3 linked regions of the Cricetulus griseus genome follow. The protein of the gene in region 2 purifies or fractionates together with the protein of the main gene of each other region. This does not show direct contact. Links are inferred from orthologs where the notes say so. Each region holds a gene or a part of one and is shown on either strand. Other genes may lie near its edges.

The links.
Region 1: the proteins of protein argonaute-4 (region 2) and Tnrc6b purify together in Homo sapiens (co-immunoprecipitation; 3 studies listed by BioGRID and IntAct, with this or other methods). This does not show direct contact. The link is inferred for Cricetulus griseus from reciprocal best matches to the Homo sapiens genes AGO4 and TNRC6B.
Region 3: the proteins of protein argonaute-4 (region 2) and Tnrc6a purify together in Homo sapiens (co-immunoprecipitation; 4 studies listed by BioGRID and IntAct, with this or other methods). This does not show direct contact. The link is inferred for Cricetulus griseus from reciprocal best matches to the Homo sapiens genes AGO4 and TNRC6A.

What each region holds. Positions count from the first base shown.
Region 1 is NC_048595.1:378,029,849-378,040,100, forward strand, and holds part of Tnrc6b (trinucleotide repeat-containing gene 6B protein), read left to right. Parts: intron 1-1,231; exon of another isoform or gene 1,232-1,541; coding exon of another isoform or gene 1,542-1,566; intron 1,567-2,110; coding exon 2,111-2,455; intron 2,456-5,484; coding exon 5,485-7,824; intron 7,825-10,021; coding exon 10,022-10,180; intron 10,181-10,252.
Region 2 is NC_048595.1:26,501,020-26,511,371, reverse strand, and holds the start of protein argonaute-4, read right to left. Parts: upstream 5,604-10,352; 5' UTR 5,431-5,603; coding exon 5,412-5,430; intron 1-5,411.
Region 3 is NC_048596.1:77,593,431-77,603,782, reverse strand, and holds the start of Tnrc6a (trinucleotide repeat-containing gene 6A protein), read left to right. Parts: upstream 1-4,859; 5' UTR 4,860-5,201; coding exon 5,202-5,206; intron 5,207-5,538; coding exon 5,539-5,586; intron 5,587-10,352.

The sequences.
Region 1 (10,252 bases), about 350 Mb from region 2:
TGGTCTATAGAGCTAGTTCCAGGACAGCCAGGGCTGTTATACAAAGAAACCCTGTCTTGGAAAAGAGAAAGACACAGAGGGGGAGAGAGGAGAGGAAGGGGAAGGAGGATCTGGCCATGCCCTCCAGCACAGTTTGCTTTTCAAAATAAGACCTGGAATTTCAGCAACTGGGCTCCAGAGATAGCACCATGCCAGAGGAAAAGTAGTGGAGCTGTGTTCTCATTATCACATATGTCCTGTCTTTGATATGATTGGGAGAAAATGCCACATGGGAGTTGTACAAAGATTTTTGTACAATGTATAGCACTCACCAGGGTTTGGTAGAGTAGAGGTCCTAACCCATTTGTAGAATGGCAGTCTCACAAACTAGCTGGGAAGAATTCCCCTAACCTTCCAGAAACAAATACTTCATTTATCAGTTATCTGCCCATCACCTGCTGTAGGTTATGCAGTGGGCACTGTGTTAACATTAGATGGCTGGCTTACGTTTTTACTCTGCTCATCACGTTACAGCCACCTCCTTTTTACTGGGACGCCAGTACTATATTATAATTGGCTAGGAATAGGCATATGAGTTTCCTGGAACTTACTTCAGCCAACTATTCTTTTCTCCTGTCACTCACAGTATTCAGTAATGTTCAGGGGTGGCTAGTCTGGGCCCCTGTTTTCTGATGATGTATCTCTCTCCTCATAAAGGAGCCGACTAAACGGCAACATGCTGGCCCAGCATCAATTCAGCAGTCAAAGCAATACTGCTACCAGAGCCGGCTGGCAGGGGTTGGGCCTCAGATTATTTCTGTAGTACTGCCAACTGGGTAGATTTTCTTGCAGAAGTGGATGATCTTTTTTTCAGGAAAGTATTTAAAACTCTTGTTCAAGAATAAGTACTGATTTTATAAAAGAAATGTAGAGTTGTGGTCTTTTGTCAGGATAAAGACAGAAGGTGCAGCGCTAGGAACCTCTGTAAGCAGGGTTGAGGTAGGTAGGAGCCAGTAGGTCCAGCAGGGTGTAGTAATTTCATGGTTACTGTGCGCATTTCTATGCTGTTTGACATTTTATAGCAATGAAAATGCTAAAATGGATTTTCTAAAATAAAAGCTAAAAGATTTCTAATGTTTCTGTTATGTAAACTGTCCCTGATAAGCCTTTGCATCCAGGTGGCTGTAGGAACCAAAGTCAAGTGGAATTTTGTAATTCTCTAGGTCTGTAGTCCTCTGTAGGTGCCAACTCTGTATCTGTCTTACAGGGAGGAAAATGAAAGATGGTTTCTGTTCTTGAGGGACTTACGGCCAGTGAGAGAGAGGTCTATAAGTAGAGATTTCTCATGTAATTCACTGTGTTGCAGGAACATGGAGAAAGCATTCTCTACTTGGCTTCAGAACAGTTCACAGAGGTCTTCAAAGACATGGAGTGGTTGTCTATAAGTTAACTTAGAGCGTTGCTAACAAGCCTGACAACCTGAGTTCCAGCTCCGGGACCCACATGATCAAAAGACCCACCTCCCTCAAATTGTCCTTTGGCTTCCATGTGCTTACCATAGCATGTGTACACACAGAATAAGTAAATGTAAATAATAATTTTTTTTCCTTAAGAAATTGGAGGATATCGCCTGGCATTGGTGGCACACATTTAATCCCAGCACTCGGGAGACAGAGGCAGGCGGATCTCTGTGAGTTCAAGACCAGCCTGGTCTACAGTGTGAGTTCCAGGAAAGGCTCCAAAACAGTACAGAGAAACCCTGTCTGGGAAAAAAAAAAAAAAAGAAAGAAAGAAAGAAAGAAGAAAGAAATTGGAGGATAAGAAGGTCCCTTGGGCTACTAAGGATTTGAACACAACCATTTCTACCTTCCAGGATTTGGTGAAAGTGGTGATTATTTCATTCCCCACTTAATTGACCGAATGTGCTATTTTTGATTCTTTGTTACTGTCATCTGCTGCCACCACTCCTACCTTAATAAAGTGAATATCCTGGCAGGAATTTGTAAGGCTGTCCCTTGAGAACAGAACAAAAGATTTGTCTTACTAGAATGGTCTCATGTGAGCTTTCTTAAAAACAGACTTTAGAAAAATATACTTAATTTCAAAGACTTTCCTAACTCCTGTCTTTCAGTGCCCGAAGTGACGAAACCAAGTTTAAGCCAACCAACGGCCGCCAGCCCAATTGGCAGCTCTCCATCGCCACCAGTCAATGGTGGCAACAATGCCAAAAGGGTGGCAGTGCCGAACGGACAACCGCCAAGCGCCGCCCGCTACATGCCTCGGGAGGTGCCACCGCGATTCCGTTGCCAGCAGGACCACAAAGTGTTACTAAAACGTGGGCAGCCCCCTCCGCCGTCCTGCATGCTCCTCGGGGGTGGGGCAGGGCCTCCTCCCTGCACAGCACCTGGAGCAAACCCAAACAGCAACGCACAAGTGACAGGAACGCTGCTGCAGAACGAAAGTGGGACTGCACCAGGTAAGACTCTAGGGGCCAGCTTCAAAGGGAGAGAGAACATTTTCCTTGTTTATTTCCTGACAGCAATTCCACTAAAATCATTGCTAATATAGAGAGTACTGTGCAGAAGATGGGAGAGGATCCCAGCATAAAGTATGCACAAGCAGTTCTCTGAAGCTGTGTTATGGTGTCTTGACATGAAACGCTAATAATAGCATCCTTTACCTCCTAGGTTCTGTGGTTCATCAGCTGTGTTCAGGAAGTGAGACTTACATAGGGATTTTTCTAAATCTTCTAGAATCTTAAGTTTCCAGAATGATCACATAGTTGTATAGAATCTGGAGAGAACACCAGATAATACCATTCAGTAGTTTTTTAACTGGGTTTTTTTCTTCTTCTTCTTCTTCTTTTAAATCAGTGTTTAGTTTTATAGCCCTGGATTTTTATTTATTTATTTGTTGGTTTGTTTGTTTGGTTTGGTTTTTTGAGACAGGGTTTCTCTGTAGCTTTAGAGCCTTGTCCTGGAATTCACTCTGTAGAGCAGGCTGACCTTGAACTCACAGAGATCCGCCTGCCTCTACCTCCCAAGTGCTGGGAGGCGTGTGCCACCACTGCCCAGCAGAACCCTGGATTTTGAGCTTTGTTAAGGCACTGTAATATAAACATGAGAGTTCTTTCTGTCTTTTGAAACAGGATCTCTTGATATAGCCCAGGTTGGTGTCAGACTCACAATCCTCCTGTCTCAGCTTCATGAAAGTGTGTGCCACCAAGAGTTTTTAATGAGTTACATAAATAAATAGCAAAGAGTTTCCATTCCCTTTAAAAAAATTAATGTGCCTTTTTATATTATATTAAATTTTAAATCTTGAACTAGACAGAGAGAGCTCAGCAGGTAAAGTGGTTGCCACCAAGCTCAGTGGCCTGAGTTCCATCTTCAGGCTCCATCCATGTAGTAGAAAGAACTGATTTCCAAAAGTTGGCTTCTCACCTCCATATGTGTGTCATAGCACACATACAAATAAATAAATAAAGATAATTCTACAAATACATTTTGAAGAAAAAAATAGACTTTGAATATCATTAAGCATCCAGTCTCAAGGTGTTAAGACTCTGTGCTTTCTCATATGTATATATTGACAGGGTTTCTCTAGCACTGGCTGTCCTGAAATTTGCTTTGTAGACCAACCCAGTCTCAAACTCAGAGATCCACCTGCTTCTGCCTCCTGAGTCCTGGGATCAAAGACATGTACCACCACCACCCGGCTAATTAATATATATATTAAGATTTTATTTGCTATGTAACATTGTTCTACGTGCATATTTGCCTACAGATCAGAAGAGAGCACCAGATCTCATTATGGATGGTTGTGAGTTACTATATGGTTGCTGGGAATTGAACTCATGAATTCCGGAAAAGTAGCCCGTGCTCTTAACCTCTGAGCCATCTCTCCAGCCCCCTATTTTATGTAATGTTATTTTTAACTCATATTAACTGAAAACTGCTTGGTTAATGGAGAAATTAGTTTAGAAAAAAAATCACTAAAAACATTATTAGCCCACCACCACCACCACTAAGAATGGTACATTCTACTGAAATATGTACTGAACCGTACTGATTTATCAGATTAATCTCTTTAGGAGTTTGTACCAATATGATCCATACTCCTGTATTTTGGCAGCTAACTCGGGGACAGTCATTCAGCAGAGGCTTATAGAGCAGAATGCACAGGCAGGCCATTGTGTGGAATTCACATGTTAGCAAGATAGGCTCTAATGAAAAGATCAGTGTGAGAAAGGAAGGATGTGAACAGAGGGTTACCATACTGAGGAGAATGGATCTTGTTGGAGAAAAATGATTTTTCAGGTGACAAGCCCAGAAGTGGATCCATAGATGAAGTGACACTTGAAATATGTCCATAAAGATGAATAAATCTCATTGGATTTGGGAGGAAAAAACAGTAGATCCAAGCCTAGAGTGGTGCCAAGGGTCAAAAGGTGTGTTTATGGACTGTAGGCATCTTTGTGGAAAATTGTATAGGATGCACCGGGAAGACTGGTTGGCATTAGAACATCTTGGTAAAGCCAACCTAGGGGTTTTGCTTTTCTGTGTATTAAGGAATTCTTGAAAACTCTCAGAACAATGATAGAACCAAAAGGGTATTTTAGGAAAACCACTCTAGCCACAAGTGTTAGACTAGCTTGAAGAAATGTAGCACGTTTAAAGTCTATTGCATTTTCTCAGGATACAAGAAGGTCCTTCTGTGTCAGCAGGAGTGGCAAGTAGGTAACTTTGAAAGCTGGTCTGGAGCCAGGCAGTGATGGCACAAGTCTTTAATCCCAGCACTCGGGAGGCAGTAGCTCCTACCTCTGTAAATTCCAGGCCAGCCTAGTCTACAGAGCTAGTTTCAGAACAGTTAGGGCTGTTACACAAAGAAACCCTGTCCCGAAAAACAAAAAAGAAAGAAAGCTGGTATGGACTTAGTACATACAACAGTAGCCAATGACAAAGGAAACTCCAGCATGTTCTCATAACTCAGCATATAATGACCCGATGACCTGAGTTCAGTCCCTAGGACCCCCATGGTATAAGGAGAAAACCAACCCCAGCTAATTGTCCTCTGATCTCCAAATTGGTACCATGGCATGCTCACATATTATGCCCACTCGAACACACACATACATACATACACACACACACACACAGAGAGAGAGAGAGAGAGAGAGAGAGAGAGAGAGAGAGAGAGAAGTGACCCTAGGCACTGAGTTAAAATCCCACAGGAAGCCGGGCGTTGGTGGTGCACGCCTTTAATCCCAGCACTCGGGAGGCAGAGGCAGGTGGATCTCTGTGAGTTCGAGACCAGCCTGGTCTACAAGAGCTAGTTTCAGGACAGCCTCCAAAGCCACAGAGAAACCCTGTCTCTAAAAAAAAAAAAAAAAAAAAAAAATTCCCACAGGAAGATGGACCAGGTAGATCCGCTGGGGCAGTCAGAACTCCAGGTATAGATGACAATGTATGTGCAGCTATGGCTAACAGATGATCTCTTTTCCAGAGTCAACCCTTGGAGGTGCTGCTGCTTCAAATTATGCAAATTCCACTTGGGGCCCGGGAGCCTCCTCCAACAACGGCGCCTCCCCCAACCCAATTCACATCTGGGACAAGGTGATTGTAGACGGGTCTGACATGGAAGAGTGGCCTTGCATTGCCAGCAAAGACACTGAATCTTCTTCCGAAAACACCACCGATAACAACAGTGCCTCGAACCCTGGCTCTGAGAAGAGCACTCTGCCAGGAAGCACCACTAGCAACAAAGGAAAAGGGAGCCAGTGCCAGTCTGCAAATTCCGGGAACGAATGTAATCTTGGGGTCTGGAAGTCTGACCCTAAGGCTAAATCTGTTCAATCTTCCAACTCTACTTCAGACAGCAGCAGTGGACTAGGAAATTGGAGGAATGTGAGTGGTCAAGATAGAATTGGACCTGGCTCTGGCTTCAGCAACTTTAACCCAAATAGCAACCCATCTGCCTGGCCAGCATTGGTCCAAGAAGGAACTTCTAGGAAAGGGGTGTTGGAAACAGAGAATAGTAATTCCGGTGCACAAGTAAGCACAGTAGGTCAGGCATCCAGGGAACAGCAGTCAAAAATGGAAAATGCGGGTGTTAATTTTGTTGTCTCTGGCAGAGAACAGGCTCAAATTCATAACACTGATGGACCAAAAAATGGAAACACTAACTCCTTGAACTTAAGTTCACCAAACCCCATGGAAAATAAGGGAATACCCTTTGGGATGGGCTTGGGGAACACCTCCAGGAGCACTGATGCCCCTTCACAAAGCACTGGAGATCGAAAGACTGGGAGTGTTGGGTCTTGGGGTGCAGCTCGGGGGCCTTCTGGAACTGACACAGTCTCTGGACAAAGCAATTCTGGAAATAATGGGAACAATGGAAAAGACAGAGAAGACTCCTGGAAAGGAGCTCCTGTTCCAAAATCAACTGGGTCAAAAAATGACTCTTGGGACAACAATAACAGGTCTACGGGTGGGTCCTGGAACTTTGGCCCTCAGGATTCTAATGACAACAAATGGGGTGAAGGGAACAAAATGACATCTGGGGTCTCTCAGGGAGAATGGAAACAGCCGACTGGGTCTGATGAGTTGAAAATTGGAGAATGGAGTGGTCCAAACCAACCAAATTCTAGCACTGGAGCATGGGACAATCAAAAGGGCCACCCCCTCCCTGAAAACCAAGGCAATGCCCAGGCTCCCTGTTGGGGAAGGTCTTCCAGCTCCGCAGGAAGTGAAGTTGGAGGTCAAAGCACTGGAAGCAACCACAAAGCAGGAAGTAGTGACAGTCATAATTCTGGCCGTCGGTCATACAGGCCCACACATCCTGATTGCCAGGCTGTCTTGCAGACTCTTTTGAGCCGAACTGATTTGGACCCCAGGGTGCTCTCAAACACTGGCTGGGGCCAAACTCAAATTAAGCAGGACACAGTGTGGGATATTGAAGAGGTGCCAAGGCCTGAGGGGAAATCTGACAAAGGAACTGAGGGGTGGGAGAGCGCTGCCACACAGACCAAGAACTCAGGGGGCTGGGGAGATGCACCTAGCCAAAGCAATCAAATGAAGTCTGGATGGGGGGAGCTCTCAGCCTCGACAGAGTGGAAGGACCCCAAGAGCACAGGAGGCTGGAATGACTATAAGAACAACAACTCTTCTAACTGGGGAGGACGAGCAGATGAAAAGACACCTTCCTCTTGGAATGAGAGTTCCTGCAAGGATCAGGGGTGGGGAGGTGGGCGCCAGCCCAACCAAGGATGGACTTCTGGGAAGAATGGTTGGGGTGAGGAGGTTGAGCAAGTAAAAAATAACAATTGGGAAAGTTCTGCAAATAAGCCTGTGTCTGGGTGGGGTGAAGGAGGGCAGAATGAAATTGGAACTTGGGGTAATGGTGGGAATGCAAACCTAGCTTCAAAAGGTGGGTGGGAAGATTGCAAAAGATCTCCTGCATGGAATGAGACAGGCAGACAGCCCAATTCCTGGAATAAACAACACCAACAGCAGCAACAGCCACCACCACCACCACAGCCCGAGGCTTCTGGTTCATGGGGAGGCCCACCCCCTCCACCTCCAGGCAATGTTCGACCTTCTAATTCCAACTGGAGCAGTGGGCCCCAGCCTACAACCCCTAAGGATGATGAACCCAGTGGTTGGGAGGAGCCATCCCCACAGTCAATTAGTAGAAAAATGGACATCGATGATGGCACTTCAGCTTGGGGAGACCCTAACAGTTATAACTACAAGAATGTGAATCTATGGGATAAAAATTCCCAAGGGGGCCCACCGCCTCGAGAACCAAACCTGCCTACCCCAATGGCCGGAAAATCAGCATCAGGTAGGCACCCACCCACTCTTTTTTCATAGGCTTTAGTAAAAGAAATCCTGGGCTGGAGAGATGGCTCAGAGGTTAAGAGCACTGACTGTTCTTCCAGAGGTCCTGAGTTCAATTCCCAGCAACTATATGGTGGCTCACAACCATCCGTTATGAGATCTGGTGGCCTCTTCTCGCATACGTGTAGGCAGAACATTGTATGCAGAACATTTACTTACTATGTAGTAAGTAAAAATAAATCTTTAAAAAGAAAGAAAAGAAATCCTATCTGAGGATAGTTCCTCCAGTTCTAGCTTTGTTGCTCTGATAACCTCTTTCCATAGAGCACTAGAGATGGCATCTGCTCTAGTACATTACAGTGGTCATTCTTGTTACAAGGAAAAGATGACAATACTCTTGGTCCCTAGAGTAATTATTATTATTAATGGTTTGTCCAAGACAGGGTTTCTCTGTGTAGCTTGGCTGATTTGGAACTAACTCTATAGACCAAGCTGGCAGATCTCCCTGCATCTGCCTCCCAAGTGCTGAAATTAAAGTCTTGCACCTGGCTAGGTTCCCAGAATTATTTTTTTGCAATTGTATTGGTCTGTATAATTTTAAAAAAGCAACCACCATACAGCTTATTCTTGCCAAACAAACTACTACTAGTTTAAGAACTAAAGAAGAAAGAGATCTACTTTCTTTCCCTCCTGGCTCTACCTGTGAACCCACCCTCTGTGCTTTTCCCCCAGCAAAGGAGAACACTCTGGTGTTTTTTCAGAAGCCATCACAATGCTGTATCACAGCTGGTGTCTGGACAGTTGGACAGTTGGGGGGTCTCCAAATTTATTGATGCTCTCTGTGTTTTGGTGCTCAAACACAGAGACTTGTGTATGCTGAGTAAGCATTCTGTATTCCCAGTTCCATCCAGTGACTGAATGGTTGGCTGTAGAAAGGAATATACTTAAAAGATGATCTTAGGACAGTCAGATATTAAACTGTTCCAACAGCTCTTAATTCTATTCTCAGGTTGGCTCGAATGTCCCTGTAAAAACTCACCAATCGGGGCTGGAGAGATGGCTCAGAGGTTAAGAGCACTGGCTGCTCTTCCAAAGGACCTGAGTTCAATTCCCAGCAACCACATGGTGGCTCACAACCATCTATGACAAGATCTGGTGCCCTCTTCTGGTGTGCAGACATACATGCAGACAGAACACTGTATATATAATAAATAAATAAAGATCTATTTAAAAAAAAAAAAAAACTCACCAATTTAGAAAATGCACCTTTCAGGGTTGTTTTATGGTTTTAGTTAAAATTAATCATAATGTGAAGTTTCCCAGTATTCAAAGTGAATCTAGTTTTTAAGTAAATGTAATTAGGAACACTAATTATCATGCAAAGTGACTGTTTTTAACTAGCTCCTTTAAAAAAAAAAAACTAAAAAAAAAATGAGGACAGAAATAGAGACTACTCTTTAACTTCTTATCTAGAATCACACTTGCTAATGCTTTGAAATAAAACTCTTCAAACTGCACAGAAAAGCGAAATACAATAAATGAGAGAATCTTAGCCTCTTGGGTTTCTCACCATAATCTCTTAGAATTTGTTTCATTCATAAATCTTGCTCTTATCTATTACAAATATACCTAAGCTTTATTTATTTATTTATTTTTATGGGGGGGTTATATTTCTTTAGTGTTCATCTTGCTTTTTTTTTGTGGACTTTTTGGGGTAAAGACAGGAATTCTGAGACTGGATCCCAGGACCTTTCCCTGGGTAGGCAGGCAGTATCCCTTATTTATGTCCTATGTTTAAGCTTTTTGTAGCACACAATAGTTCTTTCTCTTAATTGTTTCATATATAATGTTCATTTTATGGGCCCAATATTTATCCCTCTGGTAGATACTTAAGTTGCACTTTACCCACACTTGATGTAACCTATCTTCTAATATTTAAAATGCTTCAATTTTTGTACATATAATTTCATCACTTTACTACATATATCTAAAGTAAAATTTCCTGGCAGTGGAATTTCAGAAGTCATGTACATTAGACCTTTGAAAAGTCACCTTGCCAGATGCCCTCCATGAAGGTTGAATTTGTTTCTGCCAAGATAGTATAATTGTGTCTTTCCCCTTTAATTCCACTGGATGTTAAATGTTCAATGGATCCTTAGAGACATGCTTTTCTTTCTTTCTTTCTTTCTTTTTTTTCCCAGTCTGGAGCAAAAGCACACCACCTGCTCCAGATAATGGAACTTCAGCCTGGGGTGAGCCAAATGAAAGCAGTCCTGGGTGGGGTGAAATGGATGATTCTGGAGCATCGACCACAGGCTGGGGAAACACACCTGCCAGCGCTCCCAATGCCATGAAACCCAGTAAGTGGATTTGGTTTATAATTTGAGGAATTCCTTGTTAATTAGAAAATAAGGTGTTTTGGTGAGGGCTGT
Region 2 (10,352 bases):
AATTTTAAGAGGAGTAAGTTAAATTATCCTGTCTTCTATAGTAGACTCATAAATTCTTAGAACTAGAATTCCCATTTATGGTTCCCACAACACCTAACTCATCACCCAGCGAGCTGTATGAATTCAGTAAGCATGGAAGAGCATCATTAGTTCCGGGTAAAAGCAAAACAGAAACCTAAACATTAATGTGCAAAATGTGACAGCTACTTTTCAATACATAACATATGACAAGTATTATTGTGATGCACATAGGTCTATTCTGGGTGTGATAAGGCAATTACCAATCAACCCAATTAAATCATATAGACAAATCAGCCTTGCAAAAAATACACTTAAAGAATCATCATAGCATAAAATCAGAAGGAATCTGGGGTTTTTGTTTGTTTTGGGGGGGTTGTTTGTTTGGGTTTTTTGTTTTGTCTTGTTTTTTTGTTTGTTTTGTTTTGTTTTGTTTTTTGAGACAGGGTTTCTCTGTGTAGCTTTGGAGCCTATCCTGGCACTCGCTCTGTAGTCCAGGCTGGCCTGGAACTCACAGAGGTCCGCCTGCCTCTGCCTCCCAAGTGCTGGGATTAAAGGCGTGAGCCACCAACACTCAGCTAGAAATCTGTTTTTATAAGAGAAATTTGGAATCAGAAACTTTGATCAAATGTGTAGCCTATGAATCTGATTTTTAATAATGATTGAATCAAGGCCTCTCATTTCTTCCCCAGATTTCACAGGTTTTTGGTTATCTATATTTCTCTAAAGTACTTAATGGTAAAGGGATAGGCAGAGAGACTGAAACAAAAGAGATTCAATAGAAGATTGGGATTAAACTCATTGGTACAGGATGCCCCTACAGGTAGAAGATGAGCCCCTGGCCCGATTCTTAGCATCAAGAAAAGGAAAAAAAAAAAAGTAGAATAAAATATTTTATGTCCCCTTTTCTTTTTTTTGAAATTTATTTTTATCTTGTATGTATGGGTGTTTTGCCAGCATGGGGCATCAGGTCCCCTTGGAAATAGAGTTAGAGACAACTGTTAGCCTCATGTGGGTGCTGGAGATTGAACCCAGATCCTCTGGAAGAGTAGTCAGTGCTCTTCACCACTAAGCCATCTCTTTGGCCCTGTGTCACTTTTTTTTTGGACAAAATAAAAGTTTAGGTAAGTGTGTAACACAAATAATAAAAGACCCCAAGACTGGTATTGGGGTTCAACCTAAAGATCAGGGAAGCAAAGCAGCCAACTACCAGCTCTTAGCACTAGCTCAGGCTGAAAGGGTTGATCCATGCACAACCCTTCACCAAGTCTCAATCTGCTGCCTCTCCTCAGTGCGGCTGGACAATGAATGCCTCATACTGAGACCTTGCTTCGGTCTTAGATACTTCCCTAATATTGGGATTAAAGGTGTGAGCTATAATTCTCTTTTAGACTGACTCACTTTGTGTAGACGTGGGCGGCCTTGGATTTACAGAGATCTGTCTACCTCTTATTCATGAGTCCTAGGATTAAAGGTGTGCACCACTACCTTCTAGCTTCTGGCTGCTGGAATTAAATGTGTCTATTGCCACTACCTGATCATCATAGCTTGAGGCTGACTTTGCTTTTCTGAGTCCTCAGTCAAGCTTTTATAAATCATACATAATATATCACTACATGAATGACCACTTCTTTTAACAAGCTTAGATTCATTTAGAAATTATACTCTAAAAATTTCATTCCAAAAGCTAATTTCTTTGAGTTGGGTAAACTATTTAGTAAAACAATAAAGCATGGTGGCAAAGCATCAGGAACCAAAACACCTGTGTTTGGGTTTGGTTCTGGTTTTACCACTCCCTAACTCTCTATCTCAGCTTCCTTTTCTATAAAACATGGGTTTGTGGTAATACCATCTATCTCCCAATACTATAGTGAGGATTCCAGGAGATGATGTAAAAGGCTTAACACAGTGCTTTGTAACAGTTATGTAACCAATAAGTGTTAGCTAGTATAATGACACCTGAATAAAAGTTATAGTTGATGCACAGATATTCTGGTTTTAAATTGGTGGCATCCCTACAACTTTTGACAGTCCAAAAAAATTACATTTTCTGAAAACAAAACATTCAAGATTTAACTTGGTATGGATGAGATCATCCTTAAAGAAAGAGGTGTTAAAGTAGGAATGACACACCCCACACTCTAGTCCTCATTTCCCCAAGGAGCTCTGAGTCTCGAGGAAGTAAGTCATTTGAACTCACTTTGAACCTCATTTTTTTCATCTGTAAAATGAGTATAGATTCCTGCCTTGTTTACTTCCCAAAGGATCAAATGAGCTAATAGGCTTTGTTTGTTTGTTTGTTTGTTTGTCTGAATTGTGAGGGATTTCTTTTTGTTGTTATTTTTGTTTTGATAGGGACTTATTCAGTAGCGTAGGCTTTGGAATCATAGTAATCTCCCAGATTCAGCCTTCCAAGTGCTGGGATTACAATTATAAGCCACCTGGTCTGGTTCAAATGAACTCATAATTATTATTTTCTTTTTTAAAATTATTTTTATGTGTTTGTTTTTCCTGAATGTATGTCTGTGTACTACATACATGCACTGCCCACAAAGGCTAGAAGAGGGTGTCGGGTTTCCTGGAACTGGAGTTACAATTTCAAGCCACCATGTGGGTGCTGGGAATCAAACCCTGGTCCTCTGGAAGAGCACCAAGTACCCTTAACCCAGCCCATATAAAAGTATTTTATAAACTATAAAGCACCTCAAAGGTCTGGGGGACTGAAGTTCAGTGGTAGGGCAGTTGTCTATCATTTACAGGGCCCTGAGCTCCATCCCAAGCACAGCAAAACAAGCAAATAAACAAGCAAGCAACTATAAAAAAAAAACATGCAAAAATTAAGGTTATAATCACTATAACCAAAATGAATGATAAAGGTCATTTAATTTTCTAAGTTACTGACAGAAGATGAGCCTGGGTAGTGACAGAAAGGTAAACAGGACTAAGAGGCCTTCAGGGATTGTTCAAGTGAAGAAGACCCAAACACACAGCTGGGGGTGGTGGTGGTGGTGGTGGTGACACACACCTTTAATCCCAGCACTTGGGAGGCAGAGGCAGGAGGATCTCTGTGAGTTCAAGGTCAGCCTGGTCTACAGAGTGAGTTCTAGAACAGCCAGAGCTGTTATACAGAGAAACCCTATCTCGAAACCCCCCCTCAAAAAAAAAAAAAAAAACCAAAACCAAAAACAGATTCAACACACTAAACCTAGGCATGCTGTAATGTAAGTAAAAGTACTTCTTAAGTTCTAGAACAGCCTGGAAGCAACATCCCAAAAGACTCATCTGATCCTTCTCTTCCGAGTCCATGTTCAACAAGCAATTGTTATTACTTGTTGTTAACTAGGTTTCCAAGGTAGTCAAACGCCAAAACAAGAATCTGCTATACAGAACACAGGAAAATATTACTCAGCAGAAAGGATCTATATAAAATTTTGGCTTAATCATTGGCATCTTTTAAGTAGGATTAACGAACATTTGTTCTCTACAAACTGAGCAGTTCTAAGAAAACTTCCAAGTCCTCAGACCAGCAAAAACTAAAATCAAACCAAAGAGGTGGGTAGCTGGTTTCCTCGGCAGTTCCTTACATCACCATGTAGATTCTTTTCACCACACTGAACTTGCACACATAGTTACATAGTCTCTATGTCAGCTAATAACTGCAACAGTTGCTTCTATTGTAAGTTACTCATGGGGAGGAAGAGAAGAAACATTTGTTGAACATCTGTACTAGTCTTGACTAGAAGACTTCCCCCAAACATCTCATTTCATTCTCACATCAGTCTTAGAGCACACACTAGTCTTGTTTTATAGAAGAGGAAATTGAGGTTCAATGGAATTAAATTGTGGGGCAATGGGGACAATACAAGTATGAAATTACTATATTAGATTTGAATGGAATTTTTATATAGTACTAAAGCCATGAGCATGTTTTTATCTAGCAGAACAGATTTGAAGTAACTTAGCATAACATGTTGGGGTTTATCAGCTATATAAATATAACCAACCAATGTGGCATTTTCTTTTGGACAGAGTCTAGTTAGCCAAAGCTGCCTTCCAACTCTGGCTCTTTTTTTCCTCGGCCTCCCAAATGCTGAGATAAGAAGTATGCAACATCACAGCAGGTTCAAATCTGTTTGTTTACAGTCGGTCTCAAGTAGCCCAGGCTGACCTCAAACTCACTTTGTAACTGAGGCTAGCCTTGAACTCCTGATCTTCCTGCCTCCACCACCCAACCGTTAGGATTATAAGCCACCATGCCCAGCTAATCGACTCATTTTCAAAAGGCCTATGAAATTTGAATATGCGGGCCTTTAATTTTTTTTAAGCTTTAAACAGCAAATGAAGATAGAGTTTAGTTACTCAGTTATGTAAACATGTTCCAAGCAGACAAACCTGCAATGTTTCCAAATTCAAATAAAAAACCCTAATTTTCTATGTGCTTAAAAAGCATACAACTAAGTCCACTATATGGACAAAGTTTGAATATGAAAATTAATTCCATCACTGCCCCTAAACCTTGCCCTACTTAGCCAAGTCCGTAGCAACCTTTTGGGGCTTGAGACAGGAGCACTGGGCTCCAACTGCATAGCGTTCCTGCTAGTCTGGAATACTTCCTTGGGTTGGGGCAGAAAGGGAGATAACCATCCATACCGGCAACGAATCACAGCTTTAAAAACATTTTCTCGTTTGATCCTCACAACCACTCATAACCCAAAGAAAAGAGAATGGAGGACATTGATGCCTGTGTTGGGGAGTTCTGGCTGGCAATTCCCCTGTCGTTCGTTCAAGGTCTAGCCCACAACACTCTGAGACTGACAAACTGACAGATACCAAACTTCAGGGCCTTTGGCTTTCCGGGGTTGGGGGTGAATGGGGTCTCTCTTCTTCATCTGAGGACCAGACACCAGTGTAAAAAAAAAAAAAAAAAAAAAAAAAGGTGGGGGGAATCCGGCCCCACCCCAAGAACCAAGAACAGCCTTGGTAGAAGGTAGAGGCCTTCCAGGTTTGGGCCAGGCCTCCGAGAGCACCAGACACAGGTCCCTTCTGAGGCCCCAGCTAGCCTCACGGCGGCGGCGACCGTGGACAGAGCTCTCCTGAGGTCGGGTCGGGTCGGGTCGGCCCTACCTCAGGGGACTCGGGCCACCTCCTGAGCCTCCCTCCCTTAGATCTCCTCGAGGGGGGTCTAGAAGAGACCCAGAGTCTTCAGCTGGGGCGCGGTCCCCGCCCCCCGGGGACCAGGGCGCGGGGCCCCTTCCTTCCCGGGGCCTGGCAACCCGCATCCGGGTCCGCGCGAGCGGCGGCGGGACAGCGACAGTCCCTTCCGCCGGTCCGTCCGCCCTCCCGAGTCCCGGGTCCGGGTCTGGGTCCGGCCCCGGCCTGAGCGCGCTCCTCACCGGGTCCCAGCGCCTCCATGGCGGCGACGGGGCCGCCTCGCTCCGGTCCCCGGCGCCTCCCGCTCCGGGCCCCGCCGCCGCCGCCGCCGCCGCCGCGTAACGCTTGCTCTCCGGAATATTGGCGCTGAAGCGGCGCCGCGAAGACGCGGGCGCTGGGCAGGGGGCGGCGGCGGCGCCCGGCCGGGGGACAGGGACCCGGCTCTCAGGCTCTTCCGCCTCAACAACAAAACAATCCGCCGCCGCGCCGCCGCCGCGCGCCAGGGAGCGGGGCGGAGGCGGCGGCGCCGCGGCGGCGGGCGCGGGGAGGGGGCGCCGGGTGCGCGCACCCGGGGTCCCGGCCGGCGAAGGGGGCGTGCGCGGCCCCGCAACGCGCGGGGTCCAGCGAGCCGGCCGGGGGCAGGGGGCGGGGATGCGGAGGGCACGGGCGCGCGCCCTGAGAGCCGAGCCCAGAGGACGCGTCGGGAGCGCTCCCGCTCGCCCGCCTGCCCGCCAGTCGCGCGGCGGATCCTCCTCAGGCGGCGATGTTCCTCAGAGCCGCGGGATTCTAGTCCTCGCTGACCCTCAGGCAACAGTCCTCCTCTTGGTCCTGAGTCTCGCCTCAGCCACCCCCCCCCCGCCCGCACCACCACAGAGGGCCTCTTCGCTCTCACCCCTGCCGCCCTTCATTCATTCCTTCACCCAACACCACATACAGGTCCACTCACCTTCGTTCCCTGTGCAGGGAAAAGCAGTTAGTTCTGTTCTGGGTCCCAGGACTGGTCAGCCTGTCACCAAGTCTTCTCAGCAGCCCCCTCCTAGGCAGCATGTATCCCAGCAGGTCCAGTGTCCTTAAGGTTTCCAGTCAGGGCTTCCAATTAAGACGGGACCATAGGGTGTCTAGTCAACTGAATAGGGCAACAGCGGTCTACTAGTGTGAAAGGCACGACACCCTTGATCTAGTCTGTAAGGACCGCCACTGAGTACCACAGACTGTGTAGCTTGATACAACGGAAATGCACTTTCGGTTCTGGAGACTGAAATTCTGATAGGATCAAGGCACGGGTAGCCGGGGTTTCTTCTGAGATTTTTTCCTTTGGTTGTAGATGTTTGTCTTCCTGTGTTATCACCCGGCCTCCCCTTTTTATCTTCTATTTTTAGATTTATTTTTATTTTATGTGTATATGTGCTGTGCCGGTGTGTGTGTATTTGTGCGTTGGGGGACTAGAAGATGGCATCGGATCCCCTGGAACTGGAGTTACAGATAGTATAAGCTGTGATAGGAATCGAACCTGGGGCCTCTGCAAGAGTAACAAGCACTCTTAACCACTAAACTATCTCTACAGCCCCTAACCTCTTCTTAGGAGGAAGATGGCCCAGGGGGTGAAGGCACTTTAGAACCTGACAATCTGAATTCCATCCCCAAGGCCAACACTGTGGAAGAGATAACTGACTTTTGAAAGTTGTCTTCTGACCTCCATGTGAGTGCCACGGATACACCCCATATAAATAAATAAATAAATAAATAAATAAATAAATGCTTTAAATATAGTTTGTGAAACAAAACCAGATCCTGAGTGGTTGAGCACTTGAGGCATGGAGGCAGGAGGAGGGAGAATTCAAGGCCTGCCTTTGCTACCAAAGAATTCAAGGCCAGCAGGTGCTTTAAGAGACATTGTCTCCAAAAATAAAGCAAAAAACAAGTCAGATATTAACTTAAATAACAACAATGGGGTAGGGGCAGAAAATTGGAGGAGAAAATAGTCACATACAAAAAAAAATGTGAGCTAGGGAGATAGTTCAGTCGGTCAGAGTACTTGCTTTCTAACCATGATCAGAGTTCAATCCAAGTTAAAAGAAGCAGCAGTCATAGGAAGCCAGGCATGATGGTCCACACTTGTAATCCCAACACTGGGAAAGCAAAGATAGGTACATCACTGGAGCTCACTGGCCAGCAACTTAGTCAACTTGGAGAGCTCCAGGCCTTTGGGAGACACAAACAAACAGGGTAACTCCTGAGGAAGATGCCTGAGCTGCTACACACACACAAATAAATAAATAAGAAAGACTGGTGAACAACTAAAAGAAAAAGAAAAAAGTAGCTAGAAGCTCGAGGTGTTTTGTTTGGGTTGGATTTTGTTGTTGCCGTTTTGAGACAATGTCTCTAGGTCCCAGGCTGACCTAGAACTTACTGTGTCACCAAGGATGACTTCAAACTACTGATCCTTCCACCCCCAATTCTCAAGTGCTGATGTTATAGGCATTTTTCACCATGCCTAGCATGAAGCTCAAGTTTTATTGTTTTTTTAAAAAAGACTTTTGTTTTTAATTATGGGGATGTGTATGTGTTTGAGTGTGGGGCACAGGGAGACCAGAAAAGTGCCCCTGGTTCTGTGGAGCTAGAGTGTTGTGGAATATTTAGTTAACTATGCAAAGATGTATTGCATTTGTTTAACTATGTAAAATGGATTGCTGCTTTACCTTGCCTGCCTAAGGTACCTGGTTGGTCTTATAAAAAGCTGATCTGCCAATAGGAAGGGAGGAGGTAGAGGGAGAGAGTAAGTAGGAAGAGGAGTTTAGGTTTGAAAAGGAAAAGAAAGAAAAAGAGATGCCAGGGAGACAACAGGGGCCAGCTAGACACGGAGGAAGTAGGGAAAGTAGGACATAGGAAAGAAAGGTAAAAAGCCCTGGGGGCAAAACATAGATGAATAGAAACACCTTAAATTAAGTTAAAAGAGCTAGTGGGACAAGCCTACACTAAGGACGAGTATTCATAATTAATAATAAGTCTCTGTGTCTTTTATTTGGGTGCCCAAAGAAAATTCCAACTACACGAGAGTTAATTGATGAACACCACCAGTGCTGGGAACTGAACTCGGTCCTCCAAAAGAGTAGTGTACGTTTTTGTTTTTCTTTTTCGAGACAGAGCTTCTCTGTGTAACCTGGGAATCACTCTGTAGACCAGGCTGGTCTTGAACTTAGAGATCCACCTGCTCTGTCCCCTGAGTGCTGGGATTAAAGGTGTGTGCCACTATCACCCAGCTAACATACACTCTTAATGTTTGAGTCATCTCTAGCAAACCTGGCAGCCGACCTCCCTTCCCCACCTCACAGCATTTCCTCATACTATTTAAGCAATGTCAGAGGAGCTGGGGTTGAAGCTTATTTGGAGAGGCCTTGTCTACCATGCAAGAAGAAGTCCTGGGTTCAATCTCCAGCACTGCATAAACTGGACTGGGTGGCATATGCCTGAAATCCTAGCACTTAGGAGGTGGAGGCAGGAGGATTAGAAGTTCAAATTCACCCTCACCTGCACAGTGAGTAAAAGGCTAACCTGAGCTATATGAGACCCTGTTTCAAAACAAAACTATTTAAACAATGCTGGCCTGGTTTGAGGCAGGCTTTCCCAACCCTACCTCTTAACAAAATCTCTCATTCTCTAGGCACCCTGACTATAGCTTATTCTCTGCATTAAAAAAAAAATAGTGTTTTCATTAACTCAGAAACTGGAGCATTAAATGTACAGTTCCAGTCAGGACTGCAGGGTTGTACCCCCTCAAATATCCCAACCCTGCTACTCGATGATCTCTGTTTCATTCTCAGACTCACTCCCTCTGAGGCACCCTTTACCGTCTTCCTAGTAACCTTCCTAGTTAGTAAATACTACTGGGCCTCAGTTCAGGAAGCCTACCCTCTGCTTCCTGCTGTGGCTGAAAAGCCATGCCTCAATACCACTTCCCCTTCAGATCTCTCTGCCAGTGACTGCTCACCTGCACCCCCTACCCACCATACCTCACACTTCCAGGAAGTGAATGAGTAGAGAATGTGCCTCTATTGCCAACATTTGAATTTTTTTTTTCCTATTAAGTTCTCTTGACCCCTGGCCGCCACTCTAGGGTCTCCTTTGATGATGTAATCAACTCATCTCCAAGCCGGGCTCCCTCCCCACTGCTCTATGAATTCTTGAGAGCAGCCTGAGGCTTGATTCAGGTATTCAGATCTGTGTCTCTGTTTCTTAACAACCTTCCAGGTACCAAATGCCTTTAGGAGTGGAGCTTATGGAATGAACGAATGGGAGTAAAAAGGGGAATGAGTAAATGGTGGGAGCTAGAAATGGTATAGTGTTGGAGTCAGAATCTTGATGAAACTCTCTGGGCAAAGTGCCGGATTCTCCAGGTACAGATGGGTTTTTTTTTTTTGTTTTTTGTTTTTTGTTTTTTGTTTTTTTAAATCAGATGGGTCTGGGATCTAATTCCCATTCTATAACTTACTAACTCTAAGAAGCTTGGGCACACACCCTCATCTGTACGAGGCTATCTCAAAGAGCAATGTAGCATGATAAACAAAAGACTCAGAGACAGATACTGGGGCTCAAGTTTCAAGCTGAAGATAAGAAAAGCAAAGCAGCCAGCCACTAACTCTTACTACCCCTACCTATGCCCAGACCAAAGCGGCCATCCTCAAACTATTCCCAACTCCACTACTCCTCAGATTCACTCAGACTGCTATGCTCTCTTCAATGTAGCTAGAGAGTAATCCCTGAGACTGAATGCCTCTACCTTTTATAGCTCTCGAATCCTGGGATTAAAAGTGTGAGCTGTGATTCACTCTCTGGTAGCCCAGGATAGTCTTGGACTCAGATCCATCTGCCTTTCTCCTGAATCCTAGGACTTAAGGTATGTACCACCACCCTCTGACCTTCATAGCTTGAGGCTGGCTTTGCTTTCTGAATCCCCAGGCAAGCTTTAATAAACCACAAATAATATATCACCACAGAGCAAGCTGAATCCTCTAGACCCAGTGTGTGCTCTTGTATGTCTAGTATTGAGTGAGCACTTGCCAAATAATTGCTACTTCCTGTTCCTTGTCCTTCCTCAGCCAAAACCCATAATGCAGTCTCTCTGTTGAGCTGCTGGGATTGTCCCTTGAGATATAATATGCTCAAGAGCTCAGCTCAGTGTAAGA
Region 3 (10,352 bases), on a different chromosome or scaffold from region 2:
AAAACATGCCCATTGTTGTTGGTAACTTTTCCCGGGGAGATACAGATACATGTCTACTCATCTCAGATGGGGCATATACCACAGACCAAAGTCATAGTGCCACAAAAGGCCAACTTAATGAACCCAGTTTACTGGGTTACTTACAGGAATATGGGTGAGGAGTTACAGGAGCAGGGGTAATATCACTGAAAAGCTCACCCCAGCCTGGACAACCACTCAGGAAAGCTGCACTTGGAAGCTCCCAGAATGACCACAAGAAACTCCTTTGGTTAGAGTCTTTTTTTCCCATCAATTGTTTATTGCTGCTAGAACCTTGGAAAGGAACCTTGTGAGCTTTCCCAAACTTGTGAGGAGTTTCCTTCCTCCCTTCAGGAGGTAATGTTTCAATTCAGATGAAATTGCCCCACAAATGTCCACCAATGCAGGGCATTTGGTGGTGGTGCACACCTTTAATCCTATCATTCAGGAGTCAGAGGCAGGTGGTTCTCTGTGAGTTTGAGGCCAGCCTAGTCTACAGAGTGAGTTCCAGTACAGCCAGGAGCTGCACAGTGAAACCCCCTGTCTCAAAAAACCAAAAGAAAAAAAAGTCCACTGAATAATAATAGCCCCCCAACTAAAAAATGATAACTGATCAATAGGAAGATGGACAAGAAGCTGTGGTATATCTATTCAATGGAATAGTACCCACAAAAAGAAACAAATTTGGTAATTCAACAATATAAATGAATCTTAGATTTGTTCAGCTAGAGAAGCCAGAGAGAAAAGGGTATATACTATGTGGTTCCATTTATTTGCTCTTTTAGAACGAGTGTGCTGACTTCCAGTGATATAAACTGGAGACGTAGTTTTAGGGGACTGGTATAGGGGAGAGGATTGTGGAAAGTGACTGAGAGGAGGCATAAGGGGATATTCTTGAGTGATAGAACTCATTTATATTGATTGTGGTTGTGGTTACATGAATTTATTTGTCATAATGCATAAGGTTTTTCACTTTAAATGGGTGGATCATGTTTAGTGTAAAGTATAGCATCGTAAGGAAAAAGAAGAAAGAAAGGGGTTGAGAAAGGAACCCTGGAATTTTCAGGGTGTGCTAGGGAGTGTCAGTGAGAAAAGAGAGGAAGAAAAAACTAAGAAGATATTTTCAAAATAAAATGTCCTGCAGTTGTGTTGAAAGACGGAGGTGGTGGTGGGGGGTCATGGTGGTGGTTATGTTAAAACTAATTTTTAGTTGGAACATCTTAGGTACTGATCCTCTTGTTATTGGTCCGTCACTTGGCCCCATTACAAGAGGCTTACCCTGTTTTCCCCTCCCATCTTGATGATTTCATCATTGGAGTATCAGGCTTCCTCAGAGTGCACTCCTTGGCTTTTTTATGATATCGTAGCAATGTTTGCTAATGAAGTGTATAACTGGGGTCCACATCTTCAGCTTCAGTGAGCTACATATAGAAAATATTTATGACAACATTGCATCAGTGCTGGGTGCCCACAGACTTTTGGTCATTATTTACTTAGTAATACAGTTTAGTAACTGTGGACATTTACTTTTTTACTGGGTATTATAAATACTTCAAAGGTGATTTAAAGTTCATAAGGAATCCAGGCATGGTGGAACATGCCTTGAATCTCAGCTCCCAGGAAGCAGAGGCAGGAGGATCTTGGTGAGTTGGAGGCTAGCCTTGTCTACATAGTGAGACCCTAAAAAGCAAAATCAAACTATTTAAGCGAATTTATTTTTTGTTTGCTCAGAAGTTGTCTATTCTAGAGCAATGGTGTGTGCAGTGTAATTTCAGTTTTAGAGGTGTAATTGACTAGACCCTGCTATGTTAGTCTTTGTGTGGGACATAGTTCCTACATGGAGTCTTCGGAGCATTTGCACACAGAGTGACATTTCATTTCCTTTCAGTTACTCTGTTTCTCTTTTACAACATTGTATGTATACATATATGTATATATTTAAATGATTATATTTAGTAGACTGATTATATACAGTAGATTAAATTACCTATGATCAGCATTTTATAAAGCATTTATCATCAGATAGGATGCAAGGTCTAATATAGTTGAGGTCTGCAATATAGTGGTTAAGAGGGGGCTTTGGAGCCAAACTTAATATATATAATATATATATATAATTTATATATATAAAATCTTAATCATCCATTACTTACATGATTTTGGGAAAGTTTATCATGCCTGTTGGCCAAGGGGGTGTAATACTCCTACTTCATTAGGCTGTACGAAGACAACAATTAGTGACTAATTAGTATTTGTAAAGTACTTAGAACAGTTTGGGATAGCATACATTAAGTACTGAAGAAATTATAATGAAGTGATATAAATATACTCTTACCAGGAAAGTTTATCCATGTTCATGCATCCAAGTTCTTTCTATTTATTACTGTGGAGCCTTTCTAAATTTAAAAACATTATTGGGGATCTAGCTCAGTGGTATTATTGCTACTTAGTGTATATTTTTGCTATGTTCAGCATTGCAAAAAGTAATTTATGTGTATAAATGTTTTGTCTGTGAAGAAGGCCAGAAGAGGATATTGGGTATCCTGGAACTGTAACTACAGACAGTTGTGAACCACCATGTGGGTGCTGGGAGCTGAACTTGGGAAGAGCACCAAGTGCTCTTAACTATTGATCTGTTTCTGCAGCCCCCATTGTGGTTTTTGATAAAGAGGTAAAATTAATCCTTATCTGCCAAATAAATAATTTGTGAGTTATTAGTCTAGTCAATTAGCCTTCTCAGTAAGGCAAGGAAGAGAAATTGGAGAAAATTCATGTTGAAGCAACCACAGGAACTGAACAGAAACTAAAGCAAATATATACAGGAAAGGCCCTGTCTTAGTTTGCTTTCTATTACTGTGATGAACACCGTAATGACAAGCAACTTGGGGAGGAGAGGGTTTATTTCAGCTTACAGTTTATAGTCCACCATATAGGGAAGTCAGAACAGGAACTCAAGGCAGGAACATGGAGGCAGGAACTGAAGCAGAGACATAGAAGAGTACTGCTTACTGGCTTGCTCCCATGGCTTGTAACCTACACTCCCCGCTCCCTCCACACAGGGTTTCTCTGAATAATAGCCCTGGCTGTCCAGGAACTCACTTTGTAGATCAGGCTGGCCTCGAACTCAGAGTTCTTCCTGCCTCTGCCTCCCAAGTGCTGGGGTTAAAGGTGTGTTACAACCCCCCAACCCTGCCCCAGCTTATATTTTTATATAACCTGGGATAGCCTGCCCAGGGGTGGTACCACCAGCAGTGAGCTGAGCCCCTCCATATCAATCATTAATCAAGAAAATGCCTATAGGAAATGCCTACAGAAAATTAAAAAAAAAAAAAGGAAAAAAAGAAAGAAAATGCCTACAGACCTGCCTACAGGCAATTTGATGGGGGCATTTTCTCTGTTGGTGCTCCTCTTCCCAGAAGACTCTAGCTTGTATCAGTTTAACAAAGGAACTAACCAGGATAAGACCTACTTAAATTTGAAGCTGGGGATATATAGTAGAATACTAACATTCAGGACACAGAGACAGGCAGATCTCTGTGAGTTTGAGGCCAGTGTGGCCTACATAGAGAGTTCTAGGTAGCCAGGCTACATCTCCAAATAATAATAATAATAATAATAATATAATATGTAAAAATTACTTCACTTTATATTTTGTAAATTTTTTTCAAAAATGTTCATAGGCTCATAAAATTAAAAATGCTAAAAGAAGAAAATTGTATACCAGTAATTAACATTTTGACATTTTGGTTCATATTTTAATTCCTTCCTGGGCATTCACTTATTCATAGCTTATTATAATACACACTTCTCTCAGAGCAGAATTAGTCACATAGCTTATATCACGAGAGAGACTGGAGCAGTTCTACGCTAGTAGAGGGACTTAGGATAGAAAAGAGCAAAAGGAAGTAATCTGCAGAGTGAGTTTTCTGAGAAAGTAAAAGGGAACATTAAGTAAAGGAGAAATTTGCAGACTATGTGAAGCTCTGTATATATATGTGCATTATAATTATGTCCTTAGTGTATTATAATGCTTCATCTACCTGCAGGTATGTATCTTATTGTATTTACATTCAGGTATGTGTCTACACTATAATTTTTTTTTACAATTATTATGATTGCATCTTCTTGTGTTATATTGCTGCATCTTATTGTATCTATATGTAGATTTATATACTTTACAGGTATTTATCTTACAGTACCCGCAATTGGATGTTCACGTATTTTTCTGAGAACTAGTCTGGTATCTGCCTTTTCATTCTTTTATTGTAACGAAGTCCCTAGGCCGGTATTTCCCACTCCATCTTTTCATGCTCTTGCCAGTGGCTGCTTTTAATGCCATCTCATATCGTTGGACTTTGCAGTCGGTTACAATTTTCAACCTTTCCCAGTGCCTTGAGTTATTAATCTTGATGATGAAATACTTAAAAAATGATACCCAAAATGATTATTTCTTGAGCAGAAATTGAGTGAAAGTGGAATTGCTGAGTCAAGGGTGTGTAAAATTTTGAGGCATAAAATCGTACTGAAACCGCACAGCCGGCCTCAGGTATGCATTCTTCACCTGAGGAGGCCAGGCACAAGCAGAGAGGTTAAATAATCTGGCTCAAGGTCAAAAGTAATTAGATGTGGGTGAATTTAAAAACGGCGCGGGCTCCTCCGGCAGCGGCAAGGGTGGAATTTGCGGTTTGGTGGATTTTTTTTTTTTTCAAGGCGTGTTTCTGTGAGGGAGGGGCCGGGCAGAGGGGAAGGAAACTTGTGTCGCAGTAAAGGAGGAGGAGGGGGGGACCGGAGTCAAACCCAGGCCCGCCTAGGCGACAAAGGTCTGCGCTCGCCAGGCCCGGAAGACGCTCGCGGGGAGCCTCGGAGTTCCCCGACAGCTCCGGCGAGGTCCCGGCCGTGCCGGGCGGTTGCCAAGCGTCGGCCCTGTCCAGCAGGCCTAGTTGCTAGGGCCTCCATCTTGGGGGCCCCAGGGCTACCGCGCCCCCGGAAGGGGTTGCGAGTGGGGCATTCACTTCCGGTCTGGGGCCTGCGGCAGCAGCGGTGGCGGCGGCGGCGGCGGCAGCGGGTCGGTGTAGAAAATGGCGCTGGTGCAGCGGCTCGGGCCTGTCCCCGCGGCGCTGCGGAGGGCCTGAGGCTCGCGAGCCTCGTTCCCCGCGCCCCACGCGCTCGTGCACTTTACACACATGAGGTGAGCGGACCGGAGGGGAGTCTCGCTCGGGGCCGGGAGGCAGCCGGAGGCGCTGCCGCAGGACCCGTCGGGCTGCGGGGCGGCGGCACGGGGCAGCCCCCGGGAGCGCGGGCCTGGGTGGGAGGCCACGGGAGGCCCGGGAAGCTTCGGCCCCGCGCGGGCTGCGGCTCTGGGCTCGACCGTCCTGGGCTCGGAGGCCCGCAGCGCTGCAGCCCGCAGCCCCGCCCCTCCCCCACCGCGCGGGCGCTCTGCCGCAGAAGCTCGGTTTTCACGCGCATCCCCTCCCCCCGTTTTTTTTTTTTGTTTGTTTTTGTTTTTGTTTCCTATTTCAGAGAATTGGAAGCTAAAGCTACCAAAGACGTAGAGAGAAATCTTAGCAGGTAAGATGGGCGAGCCTTCAGTCTCCCGCCCCCTTTATAATCGTGTGTTTCCACTCTGCTTCGCCCTTCCTGGGTTTACAGACCTCTTCCCCCCCACCTCCCCCCACCCCATCCCGTGTCATTTGCTTTCGCACGCAGGGAACAGACATTCGGTAGAAACGGCCTCAGGGAATATTTGCATGGGGGGGGGGCATTGCAGGGGAGACGCGTAATTACGAGTGTGTTCGTTCTTAAAAAGAAAAGCAAAAGGCAGTTCTTGTAAACTTAGTTAAAGCATTCTCACCCTTTTAGAATTTAATTAGGGGACTTGTGCATTAATTACTATTGTAAATGGTTGCAGGCATTGTGTGACTCATGATTGAGGCGGCCCTTATGGCGGGCTGTCAAACTGTTTTGGCTTCCCCGTTATTACTTTGTAGCTAAATTGTTGCCTTTATAAAAAGATACTATGTGCTCGCATTTTTTGCTCTCTGTCTCTGCACATTGTAGTCAGGCGGATTCTGTTGCATTGGAAACAGTTTTGTCCTTGAACTTCATCAAGCATAAACTGCGTTTTGTTGTCCTTTGAAACATTTTAGTCTGTGTTCGGTGTGTGTTCTTTTTATCAGCTGGGAAAGTAATTAAAAATTGTTTTCAGTAAGTGATGATCACTTCTGTTGGGCCTGAGTGCTTTTGCACTGGTACCTGAAGCCTCAAATACTATCTCCAAGACAAGGGTTGTTTCTTGTCCCCCACCCCGAAGTGATGCATTTCTGGAAAACGTTTAGTTTTATTGAGCTGTAATTGCTTCAACATCAGGGAATCGCACGATACTTAAAGCCTTTTTCAGATCCATTTTAAAACAGGCTTTTTCTTTTCTATTCACTTTTTTTGCATCATTTTTGAACTCACAGAAACTTCGAGATTAAACAGCTTCATTTGTTTTAGGTCTTAATCTGGCTTATGCTTGTTTATTGGAAGTTCTAGGCTTATGTTGTGGTTATTAACACACTTGTAATTGCACAAATACTTTTTACCATGTAGAATTGTTCCAAATTTCTAGCTCTTTGAATTTATGTTAATCTGTTGGGGTGACTGTTAAAGAATCTGTTCTGTTGGCAAAGGAACAGTATTGGCTTATCCAGTGAGAGGTTTTTTGGAACTCTAAATAATTATGGAATCATTTAAAGGGACATTAAAGCTGCTATCGGTGACTAAATAACTGTCAGCTGGATGCTTAAACAAGTTATGTTGTCAAAAACTGGGAAAGAAATAAGATACAGAGCCAAACAAAATAGATTGAATTATTAAGGTGTGATTTTAATAACAGTGTAGGTTTTGGATCTTTTTCTCCTTCTGGTTTTGTTTTGTCAGGCATCCACATAGGTCTTGTGTCCATGAGGGTACCTAAAACTTAGGTGAATATTGAAATACAAGCATAATTTTCACTTCGTTATGATTGGGCAGAACTTGGAATCTCTGCTATTGGCCTGTTGGCCTTGTATCAGAATTTGAATTCCAGCCCTGCCATTTAAAATGACCTTGACTCTTGGCAAGTCATTTGGCCTTTCTGTGTCTAATCTATGAAATGAGAGGCTTGGTCCATCCAGTTACTAAGGTCTGTTAGGCCCCTTGGGTTACATAAAAAGGAATCCAGTGCTGTCAGTGTCCAAAGAGGGCATGTACAATCTGGTAGGGAAACTATATAATATGTACATAAATAATGGTAATTCAGGGTAGTTGGTGTAGGAGTCAAAAGGGGATGGCATTCCACTCATGTGCTTGAGGCACTTCAGTTGATTATAGATATGAAAAAGAAAAATAATGTGATTTTAAAACAGAGTGTCAGTAAGAAGGGACCAGTTAAGGTACTTTGAGTAGGGAGACAGGTGATTAGATTAGATGGGCACATGCTCCTTTTTTTCCCCAAGAAAAAAAAGTATCAGTCTTTGCCCATTAGTACCCTGCTCAGGAAGTCATGGCAGGTAGTATTCACCCTAGTAAACTCTGAGCATTTTCTAGGAACCAGTGAGGGGAATGTACCAACTGTTCATCATCTGCCTGCTGTACCCATCCAAAGACTTTGCATGCCTCTTCACCCTTGAGAGGTTGGGTAAATTAGGTGTTCTTAGCTGTACATATAAGAGTTTGAGGTAGAAAGAGGTTAAGTAACTACAGGAGGTCTTACCACTAGTCACTGCAAGAATCATCAGCCTTCATGCTGAAGGTAAGGCGCTTCCCTCTGAAAAATTGGGATTTTTTTTTTAAAAGTAGAACCCATAACTGCATGCAATATGTTTATCTTGGAATTTCTCACTATGGACCCTTCTTATATTTTGTACCAGCTAATTAATTATTTGAGGACTGTCCTTTGTAGTGTAAGATGTCCAGCATCTACCAGGAGTACTCCCTACTCTGTAATGATCAGAGTGTCTTCAGATTCTGACAAAGATCCATAGAAATGGAAGGTGGGGATGGGGGGGTGGGCATCAATGTTTGGAGATCTTGGTTCAGGTTTTGAACATGAAAAGTCCCAAGTATATAAATGGTGCATTCATATAAGCATCTTTTTTGTATGATGGAAGCTCAGTAAACCTAGTATGTGTGTCTCCAGGGTGGAAGCTCTGTTCCGTGTGTGTGTCAGGGTTATGTTGTCATTCTGCTTTCCTGGGATAAGTGGCAAATCCTAACCAAGACATGCCAGGTGTTCAGTGGCAGTTAAGCAAAAAATGGCACAAGGAATAAATTTAGATCATTAGGTTAGCTAGTTTTTAAAATTCATTTTTGGTTTTGAGAATTGTCTTACTCTGTCAGTACCATGTGCATTCAAAAGAGGGAGCTGTAATGTCTAGACAAGGGTGACTACTACTAGAGTGGGATTTAGGAATCAAATCCATTTTGGCCTGCAGAGAGGATATTAGAACAGTAGATGTGAAGACTCGGAATCCAGTAAGCACACAGGAATTTGGTCTAGTAGAAATAGCAACCAGCTAATCAAACTGTCTTAAGGCATGTGATGTGGAGGGCTTTGAATGTCAGGCTGAGGACTTCTACATAATCTTTAGATGGTCTAAGGGGCCACTGCCTACCTTCTGATAGGATACCAATGTTATAGGAAACTCTTCCAGCCGGGGAATTGTGATCAGGTATGATTATGGGCAGTAGTTCTCTAGGTAAGAGTTGATGAAGATCTGCATGTAAGTTGTGGTAGAGAGAGATGAGAGGATGAGATACCAAGGAAGTGGAACCTGGGATTTCAAAGTAGGTTAGTTGTGAGGGGAATTCTCCATTTAGGGTAAATGAGAGATTGATCCAGCCTCCAAGTGAAATAGAAATTTATGTGAGGAGAAACAATGGTAAGTTATAATCACCAGTTTAGAGGGGAAACAAATCCTCCATTAATTAATACAACTCAGTTGATGCAAGACAATTTAAAAAGTTTTTTGTTGTTGTTTTTGGTTTTTTTTGGGGTGTGTGTGTGTGTGTGTGTGTATGGGTGTTTTGCTTGCATGGATGTCTGCACACATTGATCCCTGGTACCCATGGAAACCAGAAGAGGTAATCGGATCCCCTGAAAATGATGTTAGAAATGGTTGTGAGCTGCTGTGTGGGTGCTGGGAATCAAACCTGGGTCCTCTAGAAAAGTAGCCGGTACTCTTAAATACTGAGCTATCTATTCTTCCAGTCCCCAACAGTTGTAATTTTGAAAGTATATTTGGAGGCTACAGTTACAGAGTTAGTGAATATTCAGAGCTGGATCTTAAGGTATCAGCTGGTATCTGTTACTTTTCAAGTGAGAAAATTCTGATTGAGAGACAGTCTCCAATGACAGAGCTGGGCTTCTAACAGGCCTTCTCACTCCATTCTAGTATTTTCACTGAACATTAGATAAAATATACATTTCTGCTTTTTGGACAGAAAAAACCTCAAAACATTTATCTCAGTGTATCTCATGCCCATTCTAGTGGTTTCTGTAATTTATGTGTATTGTGTAAGTAGAAGTTAACATAATTTGTGAATGTGATCCCTGCTTCCAAACCAACCATGAACAGCCATTGTATAGCAAATATTAAAGGTGCCATAAACCACATAGCGTCTGACCTGGGACACTTTCAGTTGAACCATGAATATCTGGAACAGATGCTATGTCACAGAGCCCAAGACAACACGACTAAGCCAGGGTATACCTCTCTCTAGAGGTTATCTATTGTTGCCACTGATTTTTCCATTGTTTAGGTGAAAAATCATTCTGGTTTAGTTAGGCTTTTCTGTTGCTTGCTCTGATGTGGATGGTAGGCTAGGCCTCTTTCTAGCTTAATTTGGAGATTACGTGGTAAACTAGTTGCTGGAATAAATGAATACAGATGGTGGGCTTAGCTTAAAACTGAAAATTTGCACATGAACATCATAAAAAGAATAGTTTATAATGTCTTTTGAATTTTGGTATGTCAAATATGTCTGAAAGTATAATTTGAAAGGCATAAAGTCTTTTACAATTTCATTTTATGACAACCCCAAAGTATTGCCCATGATTGGAAATAGTAAAATGGCATGTGTTACATGCATTTCATTCAGGCTGGACTAATCTTCTCCAAATGGAATAAAGTCCACCTAGTTTTCATTAAAGAAGTCATTTGAGGACTAGAGAGATGACTAGGCAATTAAGAGCTCTTGTTGCTCTCCCAGAAGATCCAAATTCCATTCAAGTTCAGTTCTTAGAACCTGAGTTGGCTTACTCACAATCACTTGTAACTCCAGCTCTGGGGGATCTGCTAGCCTCTTCTAGA